Cricetulus griseus: one gene and its partner. The protein of the gene in region 1 interacts with the protein of each later gene in a pairwise test. Links are inferred from orthologs where the notes say so. Each region holds a gene or a part of one and is shown on either strand. Other genes may lie near its edges. The genes, in order: Satb1 and Pias3.

What was found.
Region 2: the proteins of Satb1 (region 1) and Pias3 interact in a two-hybrid assay, tested with the Homo sapiens proteins (2 studies listed by BioGRID and IntAct). The link is inferred for Cricetulus griseus from reciprocal best matches to the Homo sapiens genes SATB1 and PIAS3.

Annotation. Positions count from the first base shown.
Region 1 is NW_023276806.1:251,371,331-251,375,148, forward strand, and holds part of Satb1 (DNA-binding protein SATB1), read left to right. Parts: intron 1-1,462; coding exon 1,463-1,917; intron 1,918-3,818. UniProt on the Homo sapiens protein: Crucial silencing factor contributing to the initiation of X inactivation mediated by Xist RNA that occurs during embryogenesis and in lymphoma.
Region 2 is NW_023276806.1:59,797,830-59,801,122, forward strand, and holds part of Pias3 (E3 SUMO-protein ligase PIAS3), read right to left. Parts: intron 3,235-3,293; coding exon 3,144-3,234; intron 2,453-3,143; coding exon 2,318-2,452; intron 2,138-2,317; coding exon 2,032-2,137; intron 1,533-2,031; coding exon 1,459-1,532; intron 1,350-1,458; coding exon 1,189-1,349; intron 158-1,188; coding exon 24-157; intron 1-23. UniProt on the Homo sapiens protein: Functions as an E3-type small ubiquitin-like modifier (SUMO) ligase, stabilizing the interaction between UBE2I and the substrate, and as a SUMO-tethering factor.

The DNA of each region.
Region 1 (3,818 bases):
ATGGCCCGCTTGGGCTGATATCACTGGTAGAAACTGAAGGTTTCTTTCCCTTCTCAGTTATATTCTGCATACATCTTGGAGTAAAACAATATGACCAGTTCCTCTGATTATAAAATCTGCACATTTAATGAAAAGAGAAATGAGTCTGTCCATAAGAAGGGTGGACATTTGAAAAGGCTTACCTGTTTATATTACACTCTCATTTTAGCCTCCCTCCAGTCTCTTATGTGTAACAGCACAGCGTTTGGCACACTTAGAGCTGACTCCTAGCCAATCCACACAAGTGCTCTAGCCAAGGGAGAGGAATTCATTCTGGGGAGGTGGAAATAAATTACAGAAACGTGACAGCATCACCATTGTACTAGGACAGCTCTCTGCCCCATCCTTAGCATCTGGTGAGAACCACACTTCTATTAAAAGCATTCAAGCCTTAGCCACACCGGGTGTGCTGGCTTACTCTATGTCTTCGCTTTGTCCTGAGAAGTATTTGCTGATACCCTTGTGTCCATGATTGGACTTAAATGAAACAAACCACATGTGATTCCGAGAGTGGCAGCCAGCTGTTGTGCCCACCTTATTACACGCTTATTTTGTAGCCTTCTTCTTTCTTTTGCCTGGATTGCTAGATTTAACATAATATGGAAGTATATCCAATATTTTTGTGTTTTAATCATAGTTTATCCACTTTTAGTTTAGCTCACGGTTTCTCGTTGCTGTTAAGCCTACAATATTCTTGTAGCCATCTTAAAAGAAACAGTCATTGCTTGTAAGCCTTCTTGTACTTGTAACTGAGAATCAGTAATAGTTTGATCCCTAAGCAAATATAAAAATGTGGATGTAGTAATTTTATGCCTTGAATGGGTGGTTCTCAACCTTCCTAATATAGTTCCTCATACTATTATGACCCCAATCATAAAATTATTTTTTGTTGCTACTTCATAACTGCAGTTTTGTTATAGTATTGTAAGTCATTTTGGAAATAGAGGTTTTCCAAAGAGGTCTCGGCCCACAGGTAGATAACCACTGCTGTAAATTTAAGCTGCATTTCAAAACAAGAACAGGAGCGCTGTCCTGCCCTTAGTGTGTGGGATTGTCTGTAGAGGGAAACACAGCCGTGGCCTGGGAGCTTGTGTCCTTAGTTATCTTGGCACCATTATTCTTCACTGCGCTCTCTCTCTCTCTCTCTCTCTCTCTCTCTCTCTCTCTCTCTCTCTCTCTCTCTCTCTGTTTCAGACAGGGTTTCTCTGTGTAACAGCCATAGCTGTCCTGGAACTCACTCTGTAGATCCAGGCTGACCTCAAACTCACAGAGATCCACCTGCCTCTGCCTCTGCCTCCCCAGTGCTGGGATTAAAGGCATGTGCCATCACCACCCGGGCTTTCTTTGTATTTCTCATGTTAGGAAATGATCAGAAAGTTTCTTATTGCTGTCTGAACTTGATTTTCCTTTTTTTCTACTTTAGTTGAAATGGATAGTCTGTCTGAACTATCTCAACAAGGCACCAACCACGTCAATTTTGGCCAGCAGCCGGTCCCAGGGAACACAGCTGAGCAGCCTCCATCTCCCGCACAGCTCTCCCATGGCAGCCAGCCCTCTGTCCGGACCCCTCTTCCAAACCTGCACCCTGGGCTGGTGTCAACACCTATCGGTCCTCAGCTAGTCAACCAGCAGCTGGTGATGGCCCAGTTGTTGAACCAGCAGTATGCGGTGAACAGACTCTTAGCCCAGCAGTCCTTAAACCAACAGTACTTGAACCACCCTCCCCCTGTCAGTAGGTCTATGAATAAGCCTTTGGAGCAGCAGGTTTCCACGAACACGGAGGTCTCTTCAGAAATCTACCAGTGGGTGCGGGATGAACTGAAGCGAGCGGGAATCTCCCAGGCAGTGTTTGCACGAGTGGCATTTAACAGAACTCAGGTCAGTTTTGTTCTGTTGTTCTACTGCCTCCTCTTGTGTCTTTGCTGAGCCCTATCTAAGCTCATGTTTTTCCTTTACTCTTTGTCAACCTCTGTTAACATGGCACCTCTGTTAAGTGTGGTCCCTGTGCCATCACTTCTGTCCCTGTGCCGTGCTCCTCTTCCAAGGGCACATCCTGGCATTGTCTGTATTCTCCTCATGGAATGGTAAGCTGTTAGTAATAGAAGGTGAGGAAGTGGCTAGCCTAGTGTTGTTTCTATGTTTCTGTTCATATCAAGCTTAAATACATTAATGTGCTTTGTTGAAATTCTTCAACTCTTTTGATACTATGCAGCTTAATAGTGATTGCATTTAATTCTCTGCAGCCGTTTCTTAGCCTTCTTCCATGATTTGTTCATGTTCTCCACACCTCATTCTTATTTTCCCCCATGTTTGTGGTAGAGTTATATGCATTGTACAAAGTGTGGTTTCTTTTCTTTCTCGCAGAGATCTGCCTGCCTCTGCCTCCCCAGTGCTGGGATTAAAGTCCTGTGCCACCACAGCTACCACTGCCTCCCAGCTGAAATGTGGGTGTTTATTTTTTTTATTTTTTATTTTTTTTGGTTTTTTGAGACAGGGTTTCTCTGTGGCTTTGGAGGCTGTCCTGGAACTAGCTCTTGTAGACCAGGCTGGTCTCGAACTCACAGAGATCCACCTGCCTCTGCCTCCCGAGTGCTGGGATTAAAGGCATGCGCCACCACCGCCTGGCTCTGAAGTGTGGTTTCTTATGGTACTTTGTGTACACATTGTGAGGCTTGGCCATGCTTCTAAGCACCTCTTCTTCTGATGCCCTTTTGCCCTTTGTCCAGAGTTCCTGGTTTATTTTGACAGATTTTACCTCACACCAGAGAAATCATGTTTCTTTCTTTTTTTTTTATGTGTCTATATAGTAAATATTTGAGGTCATAAACTCTGATCACACTGTAGATCACTAGCAATGGACAGTGGTGGGATGGGTGTGGCTTGGTGGCAATTCACTTGTGTCTATATCAGGCCATGTGCTGGGTTGGCTGCAGGCATTTAGTTTAGACTTCCCATTGAGGCCTACAAACATCCCCAGTGTTTACACTTTTTCCCTCCTGGGCAAATTCCTGTGAGACACAATCTTCTCTGCAAGAATAGTATCTCTAGTATTTATAAAGGTTTTATTTGTTTAGATGTTAACATAATACACGTGATGTTTATTTTTAGCCAAGGCACACTAAAATAAGAGGAACATTTAACTTTGAGGCTGTAATGTCTTCTCAGTTTTCTTGTTTTTACCTTGTTTTTTTTTTCTTTTTCTTCCTCTTCCTCTTCTCTTTTTTTGTTTTTTGTCTGACTCATTTTCCTTTCATCTTCAAGTTTTGTTTCTTTTCATCTTTATTTTGTTTATTATGATTGTGAGGATACAATTCTGATACAAAAGTAATTTAGTATTAATTCCTTGTTGGCAGTTGCTGAGCCTAGGAGAATGCCAGCTGTGATTTGTGTTTGACTGGCTTTGGTTAGACTGAGGGTCAGAAGACATGGTGGGGTTTTATAGGGCTCCTTCAAATTTTCTACAGCTGTTTTTCTAGTCATTATTGTTGTTTTTAAAAGGGTGGCTTTTGCACTGTGTTGTCTTAGGTTAAAACTTTGTATTTTTTAACTAAGATCTGTGTTTTTACAGCTTTAAAATTGTGTTCATTCTTAGCTGGTAAATTTAATATGACCCTTTAACTCAGTTGGGAGCAATAATTTTAAAAAAAATCAGTGAATCAAAAGCCACCCTCTAGAAATTCTGATTTGTGGTAGCATTCTTTATTTTGTAAATACAGTAATTACTAGTAATGCTTAGTCCTGGACCAAAAACTGCGACTCTACATAAAAGTCGGGTAATG
Region 2 (3,293 bases), about 190 Mb from region 1:
TCGGGGAGCAGGGGGTCACTCACCATCCAGCCCATACCCTGGCGGGGGGCAAACCTCAGATGCCTCCTTCTTAGGTTTCATCGGACACCAGGATCCATCTTCCATGAACTGGATCTCATCACAATCAGAACAGGAATTAAGAATCTCCATGAATAAACTAGGGGAGGAGGACATGGGAATTCATGAGGCTGGGAGCTGGCGGAACAACAGTGTTCTAAGACTTACTTCCTGTGCCTCAGTCTCCTCATCTGTATTGTCCACCCTACTGGACCTGAGTTGTTGCTGGAATAGAAGTAATTCACAGGCTGGGACTATAGCTCAGTAACAGAGCACTTGTTTAGCATGCGGGCCCCGAGTTTGAGCCCTAGCACTGTGGAGGGAAGTATGTAAAAGAGATTCACAAGTTTTTTTTGTTTTTTTTGTTTTTTTGAGACAGGTTTTCTCTGTGTAGCCCTGGCTATCCTGGAACTCACTCTGTAGACCAGGCTGGTCTTGAATTCAGAGATCTACCTGCCCCTGCCTCTGCCTCCAGAGTGCTGGGATTAAAGGAATGCACCACCAGGCCCAGAAAACTTCACAAATTTTAGGTGCAGGTTTAAAACTTCTCAAAAGACAGTGTGAGAGCCCTAATGGAGGCTGTGCTAGGGGACTAAAACTACTTAGGACCAAAAAAATTATTTGCTTGTTGGGGTCGTAGAAGACTAGCTATATAATTATATCCAGAAATAAGAAAAAAGTAAAAAAAAAAAAACACCCTTATTGTGCCAATCTAATAGCTGCTACTTGTAATAGTAAAAATGAAAAGGAACGAAGGAACATTACAGCTATGTGCTGTGGGAAGTTCAGGTAGTTGTTACTGGCAATATATTGGAAAAATTCGATGTACTGCTCTGCCATTTACGAATGTGACCTTCAGCTCTAGTCTTTCCTCATCTGCGATGATGGTACATATGCTGTGGGGCTATGATGAGGACGCAATGAGAAAATGCATGCAAAATACTGAGCATGACGTATTAGCTAGCCTACGTCCTTGATGTCACACACACACACACACACACACACACACACACGGTGGATGACTAAAGGAGACACGGGGGTTAGAGCTGCAATTCATGAGACATAAGCCATAAAGTGAGGGAAGGCATCTAAGTGACTGTCCTAGCAGAGAGGGAAGCAGCAAAGCCCTACCCATCAATAATAAGAGATTCATAGGGAGCCTTCTTATCACACACAGGACATGTCCATGTTGGCTTCTTCTCATTCATCTGTAGATAAAGGGCAGCATCAAAGCTCTGCAGGTGGGCACAGGTAAGGGCACGGCATGGGACGGTCAGACGCATCTTCCCTAGCTGACGAGAGGAGAGTCCATTATAGAAAACGTTGCTCTAGTATCCTTAGGGACCCTCTTCAGACTTTAACCCAACCCTCCTCCCACTTCCTTTCACCCCAAGTACCCACCGGGCACATGAGTGACACCCGGAGACTTGTAGTAGCCACCTCACTGTCAGGGTCAGCGGTCAATTTCTCCTTGACTGAAACAAGAGTGAGTCCAAAGTCATGGGGTCAGCGAGGCTGGAAGCAGCCTGGAGACGGCCCCAGCTGAGAGGCAGCTGAGCAGAGTCTTTGGGGGCCCATGGCATGTCACAGGAGTGGGTCTGTACCAAGACAGCTGGGTGTGGAGAAGTGAGTTCTCATCCCTGAAGATGCTTAAACACTGCAGGGTGAAATGTGGGCTACATTAGGGACCAACTGGATGGAAAAAAAGCATCCAGTGAGGGTTAGCTCAAATCAGTACCGAGAGCTCACATCTTAGTAGGGCTGGAATTAGGGTCTTGGAGATACAGAACTGTTGTATGATTGGGAGTGCAAAGCTATTCCCATTGCTTGAGGATCTAATTTCTCAACCACAGAGACTGAGAAGCACAGGCTTGGGGGAGGGCTGGAGACCATGTAAGAGAGCCTGTGACAAAACCTGGAGGGCAGCAGGAACCCCTGAGCCAGATGTGGAAGAAGGAAAAGGCTGATACTCACTCAGTGCCCGGGAATGGTCTGGATTCCGGATACCCTTCGCTCTGAGTTTTTGTAGAAGGGTCCCTGCGGTTAACTGCCTCACCAGGTACACAGACAAGGAATAATTCTACTTGGGGAATGGGAACAGAGCATTAGTTTCTGCTTCCTACCTCCCCCTTCCCCACATACTTTGTCTCACAACGAGAGACTGGTCTTGATCAGAGAGGCCCAAAAGAACAAAATGAATCCCCAACCCCAAACTAGATGGCTCCCCTGCAGCCTCTGCTGGCCTTCCAGCTCCACTCACCCGTCCAAACTCAGATGACCAATTAACCACAATGGTGTTGGGAACTGTGGCTGAGAGCCGAGCCAGGGATGTAATGTTGATTGGACGGCTGGGCCTCTTGGGCTCTGCTCCATTCTTGGTTGGGGGAAGGTAACCCTGAGGAAGGGAGGGACTTGTTAGAGGAGACAGAGCACTGGGAAGGGGTTCAACTCTAACAACAGAAATCCTGTCTCAGATTTCTCTCTGGAGGGAGGCCAGCTCACTCATGAGCAATGGAGTAGGGATCCACTCAGAGATGCAAAACAAGGGCCCTACACAGGGCTCTGAGAGGCTCACTTCTGGGGGGCAGAGCTTATTTATTAACCAAGGAACTAGGAACCCAGCCAGGGAATCCCAGGGAACAACAGGGACACTTCTCATCTTCTACTTTCATCTGACGTTGTAACCTCTTAGAAGTCTTTTCTAAACCTTTGCATTAAACTAGTGTCCCTCTTCTGGGTTCTGACAAAAATTATTCAGCCCTATTTTATTTTACTTATTTTTTTCTAACTCTTTGAGAATTCCATACCATGTGTTTTGATCCTATTCACTCTCATCCTCGATTCTTCCCAGGACCCCGGCTTTTCTACTCACCCAACCTTGAGCCCCACCCATTAACATATCAGGTACAGTTTGTGTTGCCCATAAACTCTTGAATGTATGGCCTTCCACAGAAGCATGGGCTCTGTAGATTATAGTGATAAACTGAGCAACTACTACATGGCAGGCATTGTGCTCAGCATATCTTTTCATAAGAGGTTTTTACTTAATATTTATTTGTTGCCAAAAGGGAAGAATCTTTACCTACCGGCAGGGGGCAGAGTTTCCCATTAACCTTGACAAAGAGGTTAGGGGGAAAATAGTCCTCCTGTGGGCAGCTAGTCTCACAGAGACAGAACCTGGTGAGAAAGGACAGGTAAGTGGCAGTTTTCTGAGATGACTGAAGCAGGGAACTCTA